2 linked regions of the Bombyx mori genome follow. The protein of the gene in region 1 binds, or shares a complex with, the protein of each later gene. Links are inferred from orthologs where the notes say so. Each region holds a gene or a part of one and is shown in the gene's direction. Other genes may lie near its edges.

Region 1 (4,226 bases):
GGATCGCTACACTCGATGGCCCGAAGTTTGGCCTATGCACGGAATAACAGCAGAAGAAGTGGCGAGCACCTTTGTAGCCGGTTGGATTGCTCGATTCGGAGTACCTGCTGTCATCACTACCGACCAGGGACGACAGTTCGAGTCGGACCTTTTCAGACGCCTTACTAATTTATGTGGTACTAAACGTATACGCACTACTAGTTACCACCCTTGTGCCAATGGGCTCGTGGAGCGCATGCATAGACAATTAAAGGCCTCTCTGATGTGTTATGATGATTCGTGGTTGAATGCATTACCTTTGGTCTTATTAGGAATGCGTTCAGCTTTTAAAGAAGATCTACAAGCAACAGTAGCGGAATTGCTTTACGGAGAAACATTAACGCTTCCAGGGGAACTGTTAGTACCTCCCGGTCCTTCTGGTTTCGAGGACCCGACGGATTTTGTCGTAAAGTTAAGACAGCGTATGTCTAAATTGCGTCCCACTCCATGTTCCTCACACACTAAACCATCACCTTTCATATTTAAAAATCTTTCCACCGCCTCTCATGTCATGCTCAGGGAGGATTCGGTTAGACGTTCAATGCAACCACCTTACTCTGGTCCTCATAGAGTTATATCTAGAGCCGAGGACGGAAAAACGTGGTCGATTGATGTAAAAGGGAAACAGGTGACGGTCAGTGTCGACAGAATTAAGCCAGCTTTCGTCGAGCATTCTTTAGTAGATCTCGTTCCAGCCCCAGCACCGCGGGTTTCTGTGCCTCAACCAGCGCAACCGGATGCTACTAATGTCCCTTCATGTCCACTCGTGCCTTCGGCACCTCTAACTGCTACTCCTACACATACACCTCAATATACCACCCGGTCAGGTCGCAGAGTCCACTTCTCCAAACCTTTCGACCTATGATAATTTTTCTCTTTTTCTGCGGATTCTCCTTCTCCGTAGGGGGGTGGTGTGGCGTTTTATTATGCGTAAGCCGGAACGCACGAGATGTGGGAAAAAGGAGATAGTCTGTGCCACAATACCTTTTTTACCGCCAAATATGAAAAACATAAAAATAATTTATAATGAGTTAAATAACTAATTTAATGTAATTACTTTATGCCGCTACAACAATAAAATTAATATTGTTCCAACTGTGGTGTTAATTACATAAAACACAACCAGGCGAAATAAAGAAGGGACTCTATATGAGCTCCCTCAGGTACATTTTTTTCTATGGCTACTGCTATTTACGACTTACATACTAAATCTTTCTAAAACGTCAGACGTCAAAGCAAAGCTTTCAATTTTACTTTTGACATTACTCCCTGACGTTTTACGTTAAAAATTTGTGAAACGAATGATGGGGGTGTCACTGTCGTGTAGAAGAATCTGAATTTGTGTTCACCGTGATATTTGAGATGTTTAAAATAGTATTTAGAAGTTAAAGTGTGCTATACTACTGCATGATTAAGCTCATATAAAATGGCTACCCAGCCTAATGATTATACCGAATTCCCTACGGAGATCATTCTGAAACCTCTGGCTCTGATAGGACTATCTGGACTTGATGCAGTTAACAATGCCGTTCACAAAGAAATCTGGGACGCATTCGCGAATAACCGACGCGCTGATCGCACGCCTGTGAGATTCAAATTACTTAACAATACGTTTGAGTTTCCAGTGGTAAAGCCTAAGAGAAATTCATACGAATGGTACATACCTAAAGGCATACTAAAAAAAAACTGGATACACAAGCGTGTATCGCTAATACCCGCTGTCATAGTCATTTTCTATGATATGGATTGGAATGATACACAGTGGAATGAGAAAATTATAGAATGTGCATCCAAAGTCCAGTCTATCCGTGCTGCAGTAGAGGGACATGCTACTCGTGTGGCTGTAGTAGTCATACAAAGTCGGCAATCTCCTCCTCCTTCTGAGTACATGCTTGGAGCCGAGCGTGCCCAGGCACTTTGTGCTGCTTGTGAGATCCAGTCTAAATCCTTGTTTGTGCTTCCTCATGGTGATCACTTAATGGGTTATATAGTCCGGTTAGAAAATGCATTTTATGATATTGCACAAAATTATTACCACCATGAAGCAAAAAACATTAAGCAGCACAGAGACCACCTCAATAAAACAACACATCAGTATCTCTTTGTCAGACATCAGTTCAAACTGGGCTATCTGAATGAGTTGAAGCAGGACATCAATACTGCACATAAGCATTATGTTCATGCTTACAACAACCTGCTGGAAACAAGAACAGTAGATACAAACCTGCATGAAGTTAGAACAGTTGCTGGCTATATTAACTACAAACTGTGCAAGATACTTTTTGCATTAAATTTGCCAAGAGATGCAATTTCACAATTAAAATCTCACATTGAGAAATACAAAAGTAGAGTTGGTTCTACTGACCTACTGTTTGAACATTATGCGTGGCTAGCTAGACAGTACAGTGCCTTTGGAGAACTTTTTGATGAAGCTATCAGGGCTGGTCTGCCAGCCATTCAATCTCAGCATCCTGGGTTTTACTACCAGCATGCAGCTCAGTTTACTGTAAAAAGAAGACAGGCTATGCGCTCTCTTTGTGCTGAAGCATTACAGTATCCACCTGCTCCAGATCCTTTAGATGGTATTCTAGAATATTATGGTCAGCGACCTTGGAGACCTGGTCGTTTAAGTGCAGATCCTCATGACCCTCAAAAAGAACAGGCAGCTATCTTAGCTCTACAATACAATGAAAGGATATTCAATCATTCTACAATCATCATCAGCTTCCTTGGCAGTGCTATCTCACAGTTTAAGTCATTTCACTCTCCTAGAATGAGGAAGCAACTAGTAGTTGAAATGGCAAATGAATATTTTTATTCTGCTGACTATGGGAAAGCACTAACTTTGCTGACTCACATGTTGTGGGATTACAGGAGAGAAAAATGGTGGTATTTAGCTTCACATGTCTTGAACAGAGCTCTGCAGTGTGCATACCTTGCAGCAAAAATACAAGACTATTTACAGCTGTCAATTGAAGCACTCTCTAAAAATATCCAGGTGCCAAACAATGATAAAGATAGGATATTCAGAAATATAATGTCTGTTATACATTTAAACATTCCAGCTCCTGAACCCGACCTGCCATCCTCTTCTCAAAGCAAAGCTGTGGAATTGTGGCAGTCCATGATCGAAAAAGAGCCTTTGCAGGTTGCTGTGGATATGGCCAACATCTCCAGTTTTTTGGAAATCAAACCTAAATTCAAACAGATGAAATATAGAATGGATGAGTTAATTGAAGTGGAACTGTATGTTAGGCTAACATATCCAGCTGTCCTAGAAGTAAAGAAGGTGTATTTGACAATATCAAGTCAATCTGAGACTATTGAGATCCCAGTAACTGATGATATTAATCAGACCATAACATTAGAAGGGAGCAAAGTGAAAAGGTTTTTGTGTCAGTTCAAACCTAATCCCAAGGATGTTGGATCAGATTTACAGATAAAATGTGTATCTTTTGTTCTTGATTCTGAAAGGAAAAGAAAAATTATATTGAATTTTAAAACTGATGACAAGAAGTCAGAGTCAATTATACATCCAGAATTGTTACACTTCATCATGAGCCCTAAATCTGACTATGAATTTGATTGCATTGTGCCTTTGAGAGTAGCTTCAGTAACATCAAGAGAGTGTAAATGGTCCATTGAAGTTACAAATTGTAGTCCTGCTCTACAGGGAGAATGGTTTCCAACCACTTTCACAGTAACAAACAATGAGGAAATTGCTGTATCTAGTACAAAGATAGCATTATCTTTATTAAGTTCACCTGAAAATCCTAACCCTGAGTCAGTAACAGATTTAAGTTTGAAGGAAGGTGAAGCTCAGTTACAACCTTTACATATTTCTGTGGGCAATGTTAACAGATCAGGAACTCACACTAATACATTCTACTTAAAAACAAACAGAACAGCCACAATAACAGTTCAAATTAGAATATCATACATCATAGACCTTCCTGCAATCAAGAAACTAGAGTGCATGAAAGATTTTACATGTAAAATAACTGTCATCAAACCTTTTGAAGTAACCAGTGCATTTGTTAGTACAGACTTTAGTCCTATTTCTAAATGCTTTGTTGATGACCCCTTTATTGTCATGCCACAAATTAAAATTTTAAGTCCTTGGGATCTTTTAATAATTGACACAGAATTAGAGGTGGTCGATTCATTTAAAAATACAGACAAAACTA
Region 2 (3,780 bases), on another chromosome or scaffold:
ATTGTCTGCTCAGCTAAAGTGAAAAGCTTATGATGCTATTATTGCTTATAACCTTGATAATTCATAGTAAAATGGGAACAGTACATGTAAGTTCATAGTTACTAAAGTTATTATAGATAAGAAAGTTCCTCACTTTATTATCTTTAACATCTAAACCAATTTTGACGAAGGTTTGGATGGAAGTAGTTGGAACCATGGGAAACAAATAGAATTTCTTGTATCCCACTTTTGAGCATGTGTTTCCATTTACAAGATGTATTTTTAAATGAATACCAGACTGCTTTTAGTCAACCTGGGTGCAATCTTGGGTAGAAAGCTAGTTTATTATAAACAAAGATTATTTCTTTTTTCAGAATCAACCTGTAGACAAAGATGCAGAAAGAAGACGGGACGCTTGGATACCCAATGAAGAAGCCAAGAAGACATTGATGAAGGTCCATTTTAAATTTAGAACATTTTAGCGCAATAGACAGAACCTCTGATTGGAGCCAATCGCCATTTAAATATGTTCACGCATGAATATGATCACCAAAGATTGTGCAGAGTGTAAAATTTATAACATAGAGATAAAACTATAATTCATCATTAAAAATAAATGCTCATCATTTAGGTAATGACGTATAGGCACTGGGGAATGGCTGTGAACACATATCAAGTAAGATTTTGAAGAATTGTATCTTGTCTATTTTTTTTTATTGCTTAGAAGGGTGGACGATCTCACAGCCCATCTGATGTTAAGTGGTTACTGGGTGGTGGCACCTACCCATGCGGACTCGCAAGAGGTCCTGCCACCAGTAAATCTATGGGATTTGATCCTGGGAATTGTTTAACTAATGATTGTCATAATCACACAAAATGTTTTGCTGTAATAAATACAAACTGTTTTTTTTTATTTGCAGGCACAATCGTCACCTAAAGGTTCATTTTTCCCTGAGAGAGAAGTGTTGACCATGCCAGGATTGGTGCTTGAAGAAGAACTGGTAAGAAAAACTTAAATGAATCTATTTTTGATTATACACGAATATTTTTAAGGTACCAGAAAAAAATATCAGCGGTCTTAGTCAGACTCCGATCATGTAAAACAAATAAATATTACATATAAATATATATATATAAACAATTGTAGTATATACACAAATACGAGCAGGATTCAAAAATGGCACGGGACATTTAAAATCTCAGATCCATTTTCAATGAGGCGCGATAATTCAATTTACATTTAAATGTAGAAGGAATACGGTAATTAGAACACAATCGTGTTTTTGAAACAAAATAAATTTGCCTTATGTCTTATCGGTGAAAGATCATTTTCGCTAAACTGTTTTGTACGTTCCCCCGCCGTATCAGTGGGCGTGACGCCTATCCCTACAGTGTGTGCGAAAAGTAGAGGTATATGTGTTTCAACACTTTCAACGCTGACCCGATAGTTTGGCTTTATTAATGAATATTAGCAATTAGCATGTAAGTTTAGCATTTGGTATGTCCGTGATGTGAAATTTTTCTGTTATGACGTAAAAAATATATTTTACAGCACATTTAAACCAGAGTATATAATATATTGCGCTAAAATATGTTTGTTTTTTTATTGCTTAAATGGGTGGGTGAGCTCACGGCCCACTTGGTGTTTAGTGGTTACCGTAACCCATAGACATCTACAAATGCCGCCACCTACCTTAAGATATGAGTTTTAAGGTCTCAGTACAGTTACAACGGCTGCCCCACTCTTCAAACCGAAACGCATTACTGCTTAACAGTATAATTGGGTAAGGTGGTGGTACCTACCCATGCGGACTCACAACACGTTTGGAACCTCTGGGTCTGCGGAGGGACTTCGGTTCCCTCTGTATTTTGTACCGTATGTTCCATGGGGAGTGCTCTGAGGAATTGTTTGAGATGATCCCCTCATCTCCTTTTTATCATCGCACCTCCCGCCATCGGAGCAGAGTTCGTCCATATTATCTGGAACCGCTGCGTTCATCGACAGAGCGTTTCCAGAGGTCTTCTTTGCCACGTACCATCCGGCTATGGAATGACCTCCCCTCCACGAGCGCTATGACATGTCCTTCTTCAAACGAGGCTTGTGGAGAGTACTTAACGGTAGGCAGCGGCTTGGCTCTGCCCCTGGCGTTGCTGAAGTTCATGGGCGACATGGGTGGCCTTAAAAAAAACACGTCCTACCAGTAAAACATGTAAGTGTGTAAGTCCGTTCGTGTGCCCAGGCGGACGCGTTACAAGAGGTGGCGGTGAAGTACCTGGGCGTGAGCTGCGCGGGCAGCCGCGGGGTGGTGCGCGCCGACCACGTGACCCGGGACGAGCCCGGCCTCCGCGAGCTCATCCGCACCGGGTACTTCAGGGCGGCCGTCAACCTCACCGCGGTGCTCATCAGCGCCGCCGGACAGGGTGACTATATTGGATAACTGTAACTGGTGGTAGGACCTCTTGTGAGTCCGCACGGGTAGGTTTTTATTTATTTATTGCTTAGATGGTTGGATGAGCTCACAGCCCACCTGGTGTTAAGTGGTTACTGGAGCCCATACACAATCTACTTCACGGCAGAAATAGGCAGGGCAGTGGTAGGACCTCTTGTGAGTTCGCACGGTTAGGTACCACCACCCTGCCTATTTCTGCGGTGAAGCAGTAATGCGTTTCGGTTTGAAGGGTGGGGCAGCCGTTGTAACTATACTGAGACCTTAGAACTCATATCTTAAGGTGGGTAGTGGCATTTACGTTGTAGATGTCTATGGGCTCCAGTAACCACTTAACACCAGGTGGGCCGTGAGCTTGTCCACCCTCTTATGCAATAAAAAAAACTTTAACATGAACGTATTTTTTATGAGCATTTACGTAGCCATCATGTACCTATATTTCCTCAGCGCCAAGAAAATAATTTTATTGAGACCGGAGGAAGCTTCTCTCATGTGCGTATGCCCGAAGGGGCGGGTGCCAGCTATTAAGGTAGTTACTATACCAGCTAACTCTAGGCGGACTGTGAGCTCGTGCCTATCTAGTATCTATGCAATAAGGATGCTAGTAAATTCATTACGCGTCCTATCTCCATTTGAGACTGACTGATCGACTCAAGGACCGAATTCGTGATCGGAAATCGGAATAGGCCAATGGCTAACATACCATTACTTGCCTGCCTGGCACTTGTCTCACTCCGTTGGGTCACGAACCGTCGACAGATCGTGACCCTCACTTGAAAAACTCCATAGGAAATCTACGTTGTAACCTCGGATAATTTTTTGAGATGGATGCTATAAATACGAACGAAAAACAATTGACGTTAGCGCGTGTTGGGAATCAGGCAGCACCATCTAGCGATGACAATAGTAATTAAGCCTTTCACTTCACATCTCACCTTGTCCCTCAGGCGTGGGACGGATGCACAGACCCACGAAGCACACGCCGCGCTCCCTCCAGCTCTGGTTGACGAGGTTCTCCCTGATGCTGAGGATCAAGCTACATGAACCCCTGATCAGGGAGGCGGAGCAGTTCGGCGACTGCACCAAACCCGACATGTTTTACCAGGTAATTCGAAATGTGGACACCAGAGAATTTATTACCATTTGAGCAAGCTCTAAGCTCTAAGCTTGGCATTGCTGAAGTCCATGGATTTTTTTATTGTTTAGATGGGTGGACGAGCTCACAGCCCCCTGGTGTTAAGTGGTTACCGGAGCCCATAGACATTTACAACGTAAATGCGCCATCCATCTTGAGATATAAGTTTTAAGGTCTCAGTACAGTTACAACGGCACCCTTCAAACCGAAACGCATTAT

The links.
Region 2: trafficking protein particle complex subunit 11 (region 1) and trafficking protein particle complex subunit 12 share a complex: the UniProt entries of both Homo sapiens proteins name them as parts of the multisubunit TRAPP (transport protein particle) complex. The link is inferred for Bombyx mori from reciprocal best matches to the Homo sapiens genes TRAPPC11 and TRAPPC12.

Annotation. Positions count from the first base shown.
Region 1 is NC_085125.1:14,660,479-14,664,704, forward strand, and holds the start of trafficking protein particle complex subunit 11, read left to right. Parts: upstream 1-1,276; 5' UTR 1,277-1,465; coding exon 1,466-4,226. UniProt on the Homo sapiens protein: Involved in endoplasmic reticulum to Golgi apparatus trafficking at a very early stage.
Region 2 is NC_085126.1:10,497,296-10,501,075, reverse strand, and holds part of trafficking protein particle complex subunit 12, read left to right. Parts: intron 1-353; coding exon 354-434; intron 435-899; coding exon 900-980; intron 981-2,219; coding exon 2,220-2,400; intron 2,401-3,373; coding exon 3,374-3,531; intron 3,532-3,780. UniProt on the Homo sapiens protein: Component of the TRAPP complex, which is involved in endoplasmic reticulum to Golgi apparatus trafficking at a very early stage.